Linked DNA regions of Saccharomyces cerevisiae S288C. Each later gene encodes a partner of the first gene's protein in a complex. Each region holds a gene or a part of one and is shown on either strand. Other genes may lie near its edges.

Region 1 (4,314 bases):
CTTCTGTTCATGCGTGACGGCTGAATTATCCTTATCTGGCGTACCCGTGCAGCCGTTTCCGTGCCTCGGTTCCTCCGAGATATCCTTAGGGACCGCCAGGGACCATGATTGCGTCAACTGTTGTCACCGCTCCAGAGGATCCTCTGTAACCTTTTCAACCATAAAAATAGAAAGGGCACAGGGTTGGGGTATTTGAATTTTTTTTTTGGGTTTTTTCGTATTACTTATTACTTACCTTCTTTTCTATATAATTTTGTTTTTCCCTGGTAGAGCGGAATCTTCCCACTAAATTTTTAGCAGAGAATCCTCGGGTTTGTAAACCATGTTATAGTTAAACCCCGATATTACACCATTAAAATCATTTCTAAATATGCGGTCGTCGATGATCAGCTGCAGGGAAATGCCAAAATATGGACCCCATAGAGGTCTTGGCTTGTTCATATCGTTGGGTCGATTTCTGTTCCCAGTGTTATTTGGTTGAATGGGAACAGTCGCGTCTTGCCCCATCTTGTCTCTGCCGCTTTCGTCGAATCTGACTTTGCAATTGACGTTGCATATCAACGTGCCGGATCCCGGAATAGCGTGATAGTCTACTCCTGTTAGGGCATGTTGTGTTTGTACGACCTGGTTTTGCCACATTTGCAGAAAAACTGTTGCTTGCGCGAAGGGGGTAGCATTAAATATTATTCTGCAGTTGTTTGGATTAAAAAGCTGTACGAATTGGGCCAATTTGTTGGAGTCCGGATCATCCAAATGCGCTAATATCTTCTTCGTAAATGTGGCCGTTATTTGTGCTTGATTTGCGTCATTCATTACCATAGTATTACTATTGGTGTTCATATTTCTGTTATTACTGTTATTAGTTTGGCGTTTTGCCTGACGATCAGCCTGGTGGGGCCAAGTATATACTATAAAAACAGGTTAGTTACTTGCTCTATGCGTTTGCGCATCCTCTTTTTACTTTTTTTTTTTCAGTAAAGCCTAAGCATAAATCGTTTTATACGTACGACACGTTCAACTTTTCTTGGTTAGTAGTGGCAATCTCTGCAATACATACAGGGAGTCATGGTCTATCATCTTGTCCAATCAAAGAAGCATCGGTTCAGATCGAGCAAACTGTAGGGAGAAAGGAAAGTAGAAATGCAGAGTGTGCTATATGTCCAATCTCGGTTTTGTAGTTTGGATGTCATTAGAGATCTACCACCCAACCGGCTGCTTTCATGTGGAACAGAAAAGAAATCGGGGCGCTTCCTCTTCTGTATTCCTTTAATTAACGTTTTTATTCAGCCATCTAACCATCATACCCCCATACGGTAACAAAACCTCTTCTAAGAAAAGAAGTCTCTGCTCCTCCGCCATCTTATTTTTATTCGCTGCGCGCGTTTATTGTCGCATCGCTAGCCAGCAAAAAGTTGGTTGCCTTTTTTTACCTAAAAAAGACACATCTAACTGATTAGTTTTCCGTTTTAGGATATTGACGCCAAGCGTGCGTCTGATTTCTACGATATGTCTCTAATTTTGGAAGGGCCATTTTATTTTTGAGGATTGGGCTGATCATTTTCCTTACGTGGATTGAGCCAGCAATACAGATCATTATTAAACTGTTTTGTACATGATGTTAGTATATAATCGTAAAGCTTTTCTAATATGTATACCTTATACATGGAACTCCACAGAACTTGCAAACATACCAAAAATCCTTTATTCTTGTTCACTCATTTTACATCAAAAAATAATATTTCAGTTATTAAGGAAAATAAAAAAATAGATTAGAGAAGCATTTTGAAGAAATAGTATATTCTTTTATTGAACCTAAGAGCGTGATATTTTTACTCGAAATAAAATACGAAAAATCTATACACTCATCTTTCCGACTACTATTGGCTCCTGCTCAAAAAAAGAGGGAAAAAAAGCTCCAAAATTCTATCTTTTCCTATCGCTCCTGTCCTATCCTTATTACGTTCATTACTATTTTAATACTATCCATTCTTTTATTTTCAGTCTAAAAAAAACATTTCTCATAACGGGAAAAGCAAAAAAATGTCAAGCTTATACATCAAAACACCACTGCATGCATTATCTGCTGGTCCGGATTCTCATGCAAATAGCTCCTATTATGACAATCTTTTATTGCCTTCATTTTCCAATTTATCCAGTAATATCAGCAGGAACAATATCACAACCGATAACAATATAAATTCAGCAAGTCCTAGGAAGTATTCGTTTCATTCGCTCAATGTGTCGCCAATTCTTTCCCCAATATCTTTGGCTAACGAAATACTTGGAAAAAAATCAAATACTGCACCAGCATCGCCACATCATATGGATTACAATCCAATTTCCTCATTAACACCAGGCAATTCACCAGAATTCAACAAGGCAAGCTTATCTCAGATTAGTTTTACAAATCCATTGAACTATGGGTCTGGCTTAGGTTTTTCCTCTAATTCACAACCTCGACTACCATTGTTAGACAGGCTATCGTCCGTCTCTTTATCTAAGAGACCGGAGCGCCCACAACAAAGCCTACCATCACTAAGGCATCTGCAATTATTACCCAGTCCTCTTTTACAAGAAAACGCAGCACGCTTCCCTGATACATCAAAACGTACATCTAATTGGAAAACTGATCTTACCCATTGGTGTAAGGATACAAACTATCAAGACTATGTTAAAATACGCGAAGAAGTGGCTCATTTCAAGCCATTAAGTATACCCAACTTAACTAATAATCAAAATAATGATAGTTTCAATTACGGCAAGGAATTGGAATCGACTAGGTCGTCCAAGTTCCATTCCCCGTCTAAGGAATCATTTGATCGTACCAAACTAATTCCTTCGATTCTAGAAGCTAAAGATCAATTTAAAGATCTTTCCAACAATGCATGGAGTATTACTCCTCCCGTCACACCGCCGATGAGTCCACCAACCAATAGAACCATGGAGCGCACGACGCTTAGAGGAGTAGAGGCCTCTTTTTTTGAGGGGAAATCCAGCAATAACGATTCAATATTCAATCCAATTATTAGTGAAAAATTGGTTCAAGAAGTTAAACATCAAAGACAATTACGTGGAAATTCATTTCCCATGCCAAATGCCAGTCACAAAAAGACGAACAGTTTCAAAGCTTTGCAAATAAAAAAATTGCTTGCGAATAGAGACATTCTATCGAACAATTCCAAATCTAATGTAAGGAAACCATCTAAGAACAAAATCTCAAAGCAAGCATCAAATGTTTTCGGTAACACTGCAAGACAATTGGTGATGAAACTCGACAACGCTAGTTACAGTTCTGTCTCTGCATCTTCATCTCCATCTCCCTCCACACCGACGAAAAGTGGCAAGATGAGATCAAGATCATCCTCACCTGTGCGTCCCAAGGCATACACTCCAAGCCCAAGGTCACCCAATTATCATAGATTTGCTCTCGACTCTCCCCCTCAAAGCCCTCGAAGATCATCAAATTCAAGCATAACGAAAAAGGGAAGTAGAAGGTCCAGTGGCTCATCACCCACTCGTCACACCACAAGAGTGTGCGTGTCGTGTCATTCGAGTGATTCGCCCTGTTGGAGGCCATCGTGGTCGCCAAGAAAGCAAGATCAGCTATGTAACTCTTGTGGTCTTCGATATAAAAAAACACATACAAGATGTTTGAACGATTTATGTCGTAAGATCCCCACAAAGGGTGAAATAAACATTATGAAATCCAATGGAATAGACAAAGAATTCGTCCCCGAACGCAACTGCGAAATTGAAGGGTACCGTTGCTTATTTTGTAATTACATAACTGAGACAGTAGAGAATTGATACATGGATAACTGAATCTCTTTCAACTAATAAGAGACATTATCACGAAACAATTGTACATTTCTCTCCTTGTCTGTGCTAAATAAACTACAAATAAAAATTCATTTTCTTTCATTTTCATTCGACACGCCGCGGCATCTTCGTTTTCTTCACCGATTAATTTTAATCTGCGCCGTGCAGATATTTTCGCCCATTTCGAAGTGAAATCATTCTAATAACTTCTCCTGCGCAATAGATTGGTCATCCTGATTTTTATTCTGAAATCGAAAATGAAAAGCATTTATTGCACTGAAATAGCGGAACCTGCTTCTAATAAGCTTAAAATTCAATCATAATAGTGTAGTTAATAGAAAGGACAGAAGAACTTTTCGTTCCTTGGTTTATCATCCAGGTTTCAGCACGGCTTTTGTTTCAAGTTTAAGTAGGTAAGATTTTTTGATTGTTCTACAACTTTTTCATAGTAATCAAAACCTTTGAATTTCAAACTTACTATGTCTAGTACTCAAG
Region 2 (4,388 bases), on another chromosome or scaffold:
CAAGGGCTTTGATTGATACTTTCATAAACACAGACGTGAAACTGTTACAAGATCCTGTGATGAAAGAAGACCATAGCGGATGTACGGCTACATCCATATTAGTATCAAAGTCCCAGAACTTGTTAGTATGTGGTAACGCTGGTGACAGTAGAACCGTACTCGCCACCGACGGGAACGCAAAGGCATTATCATACGATCACAAGCCCACTCTAGCAAGCGAAAAATCACGTATTGTGGCAGCTGATGGCTTCGTAGAAATGGATAGGGTCAACGGTAACTTGGCGCTCTCTCGTGCCATTGGTGATTTTGAGTTCAAATCCAACCCCAAATTGGGCCCCGAGGAGCAAATAGTGACATGTGTTCCGGACATTCTCGAGCATTCTCTAGATTACGATAGGGACGAGTTTGTAATCTTAGCCTGTGATGGTATCTGGGATTGTTTGACTTCCCAAGATTGTGTGGACTTGGTTCATCTCGGCCTTCGCGAAGGCAAGACATTGAATGAAATTTCTTCGCGGATCATCGATGTCTGTTGTGCTCCCACCACAGAGGGGACGGGTATTGGATGCGACAACATGAGTATAGTGGTTGTCGCGCTGCTGAAAGAAGGTGAAGACGTCGCTCAATGGAGCGACCGTATGAAGTCCAAGGCCCACCGCACATCAGTGCGTTCTTTTGCAGACAAGAGAAGAAGGGTGTTTAGTTACTACGATTTTTCCAAATGTAACGACGAACAGGTGTTCGCTATCACTACGAAGAAACCTCAGGACAAATTCACTCGCGACCACGAAGCCGCTGTGGCCTCGGTGACTGCCGCCGATAACGACGATCCAATGGACATAGACGACACGGACGCTGACACAGATGCAGAAAATCTTGACCCTTCCAGCCAATCCAAGAGCAAGACCTCCGGCCCCATTGATCTAGCATCCTTGGAGGCGCTACTTGGTGCTACAGGAGGAGTGAAGACAGACAGCAACGGGAACAAAGTCACCTACACTCTTCCCCAGTCTGCCTTGGCCCAACTGCTCCAAACCATGGGCCATGACCCGGCTTCCTCCCATCCCGAGAATGACAGTAACACTGACCACAAGGCCGGCCGTTCCCACTTGCAATGAAGGATCTTCCATCCTTCATTATATATACATACCTATATACGAACCGAACGAACAGAAAGAGAAGAGAAGACGCAAGACACCACCAGAACCAAGAGCATACACCACTACCACCACCATCGCTACCAACAGCAGGATATCCGGATGCAGTTTGACGCTTGAAGATGGTATTCACCTCAGGGGTAAACGCGCAGAAACTGCGCGTTTACCTGCAGCGACGCCACAAAAACGGACCGGCCCGGCCAGAGGGTGAGACCAGCAGCGGCCCCGTTGTGAAATCTCACCCCCAGTCCCGGATGGGCACGAGTCCCCAGCGCCCGTCCCATGAGGTCCTCCTAAGGTAGACAGCGCGGATGTTTCCGATGCAAAGGAGAAAGGATGGACGGTACAGACATCGTAGACAGGATTCGCGCATTGCCTTGCACATCTGTGCCCCATCCAATCTACCGTATCTATTGTTATCGTCGTGTGTGCTACTCTTTTCTCCGACAGCCTCGACAAGACGGAATCAGAAAGTGCACACAGTTTAAAAAGGAAAAAAACCGAGTACAACAAAAACAGGGACAGGTTTTGAAAAGTGTTCTTTTCTTTGCATCTTCTCTATTTCTTCTCTCTTTCGTCCTGTTTGGTATCTTGTTGTATTTTTTCTCTCTTTTGTAGTATATTTATCCGTGTTTCCTCCTTTTCACAGTCAGTTCATCCGACCTCATCGAATAGCTTCCGTGCACGTTCCAGTCTTCCCTCCCTTCTCTGCTCCGTGATGTCCATTTCAACCAGTTTGAACTCAGCTTCCATTCATTTGAGCAGCATGGACACCCATCCTCAGCTACACTCACTCACTCGTCAGCCACACTCGTCGTCAACAGCTATGTCCAAGAACGAAGCCCAGGAATCTTCGCCCTCTCTGCCAGCTTCCTCTTCATCGTCGACTTCGGCATCGGCATCTGCGTCTTCCAAGAATTCGAGCAAGAACCCTTCCTCTTGGGACCCTCAAGATGATCTGCTGCTACGTCATTTAAAGGAGGTCAAGAAAATGGGCTGGAAGGATATTTCGCAATACTTCCCAAACAGGACTCCTAACGCGTGTCAGTTCAGATGGAGAAGGTTGAAGTCTGGTAACTTGAAGTCGAACAAGACTGCTTTGATCGACATCAACACCTATACGGGCCCACTCAAGATCACCCACGGCGATGAGACTGCCAACGCTCAGCAAAAGCCCAGCAAGAAGGTAGAAGAAAACGTATTAACGGAAGATACTGCTGAGTTCACTACAACGTCATCCATCCCGATTCCCTCCAGAAAGACCTCGTTGCCTTCGTTTCACGCATCGATGTCATTTTCTCAATCTCCGTCCAATGTGACTCCCACTACGATTGTCTCAAACGCTGCTTCTTCCATGCCGTTCGCTCCTCCCACGCTGCCGGCCGCACTCCCTCATCATCCTCATCAACACCTACACCACCATCCCCATCATAAGACTCTAAAGCCAAGGTCAAACTCTCACTCCTTCACCAATTCTTTGAACCAAGACCCCATCGTTCGGTCTAATGATGAGGAGAAGTATGGATTCATTCCTAAAGTATTCGTTAGATCCAGAAGAAGTTCGTTTGCCTATCCACAACAGGTAGCAATAACCACTACTCCGTCTTCTCCAAACTCTTCGCATGTCTTACTAAGCTCAAAGTCAAGAAGGGGCTCGCTTGCGAATTGGTCCAGAAGATCATCGTTTAATGTTTCAAGTAACAACACTTCAAGACGGTCTTCAATGATTCTTGCACCAAATTCCGTGTCAAACATATTCAATGTCAACAATAGCGGCAGTAACACTGCTTCTACTTCTAATACCAACTCAAGAAGGGAATCTGTCATCAAGAAGGAATTTCAGCAAAGATTAAACAACTTAAGTAACAGTGGAGGTCCTACCTCCAACAACGGGCCCATTTTCCCCAACTCTTATACCTTTATGGATCTCCCACATTCTTCATCGGTGTCATCGTCATCCACTTTGCATAAGTCTAAACGAGGTTCGTTTTCTGGCCATTCTATGAAGTCATCGTGTAATCCGACTAATCTATGGTCAAAAGATGAAGACGCTTTGCTAATGGAAAACAAAAAGAGAAACCTATCCGTTATGGAACTATCCATTCTTTTGCCGCAGAGAACTGAGGTGGAAATTCAATGGAGATTAAACGCCTTGTCAAGTGATGCGGATATGTTGTCTCCTACACATTCACCTCAAAAAACTCTGTCCAAGAAAACTTGTCCAAGAATGTTCAAAAGTGGTTCTACCACTGATGATGACAAAGGTAGCGACAAAGAGGACGTTATGGGTGATGGTAGTAACGATGATGACGAAGATAATGTAGACCCGCTGCACCGTGCTAAACAATCCAGTAACAAGACTGTCTTTTCATCCAGCAGTTCCAACATATCCTCCAAAGACGTTTCACCGGATCCGATCTTTTCACCGGATCCCGCAGATGATTCATCGAATACTTCTGATGCTGGTTCTAGGTGCACCATAACCTCCGATACCAGCTCCTCGGCTGCAACCATGAATCGCACCCCTAATTCCAAAAACCCGCAAGATATTGCTTTGTTAAACAACTTTCGTTCTGAAGCCATTACTCCGAGACCGAAGCCTTCTTCCACAACTACATCCATCACTACCGAAACCACCAATAACATGATAAACCACTCTAGTTCTACAACTACTACCACAAACAACAGTCCGCTGCCAAGCATAAACACTATCTTCAAGGATATGCTGTGAGGGGAAAACTTAAAATGAAAAAAAAATAAAAATAAAAAAATATCAACAACAAAAAGAAAAATGTGAATTTAGCGGGCTTGTTCATTAAATTTCTATAGTTTAGCATATTTAAAAGTATAAAAGTTTCTTTGGTTTATATGACGTATTCATCCATTCTTCATTTCCGCTTCAACTATTTTTTTTCGTGGAACGCAAACAACGTTACCCTGAACTTTTCACATTGGAAAAGGAAAGCATCATAAAAAATCGTGTTTTTATTTTAATACACGGTAGCCTTTTGATGAAGGGAAAAGATTTCAACCACCACTTCAAAACACCACACTCTACCTCCTACCATACTCCATAATGTCAAGCCCAACTCCTCCAGGTGGTCAACGTACTTTGCAAAAGAGAAAACAGGGAAGTTCACAAAAAGTTGCGGCATCCGCTCCAAAGAAAAACACGAACAGCAATAATTCGATTTTGAAGATTTATTCTGATGAGGCTACGGGACTAAGAGT

The links.
Region 2: ASH1 (region 1) and DOT6 share a complex: the UniProt entries of both Saccharomyces cerevisiae proteins name them as parts of the RPD3C(L) complex.

What each region holds. Positions count from the first base shown.
Region 1 is NC_001143.9:92,459-96,772, forward strand, and holds ASH1 (DNA-binding transcription repressor ASH1), read left to right. Parts: upstream 1-2,040; coding exon 2,041-3,807; downstream 3,808-4,314. Other genes in the region: MTR2 (Mtr2p), read right to left, coding at 286-840; ornithine decarboxylase SPE1, read left to right, coding at 4,299-4,314. UniProt on the Saccharomyces cerevisiae protein: Component of the RPD3C(L) histone deacetylase complex (HDAC). Responsible for the deacetylation of lysine residues on the N-terminal part of the core histones (H2A, H2B, H3 and H4).
Region 2 is NC_001137.3:332,676-337,063, reverse strand, and holds DOT6 (Dot6p), read left to right. Parts: upstream 1-1,875; coding exon 1,876-3,888; downstream 3,889-4,388. Other genes in the region: type 2C protein phosphatase PTC2, read left to right, coding at 1-1,118; Arf family guanine nucleotide exchange factor SBH1, read left to right, coding at 4,234-4,388. UniProt on the Saccharomyces cerevisiae protein: Component of the RPD3 histone deacetylase complex RPD3C(L) responsible for the deacetylation of lysine residues on the N-terminal part of the core histones (H2A, H2B, H3 and H4).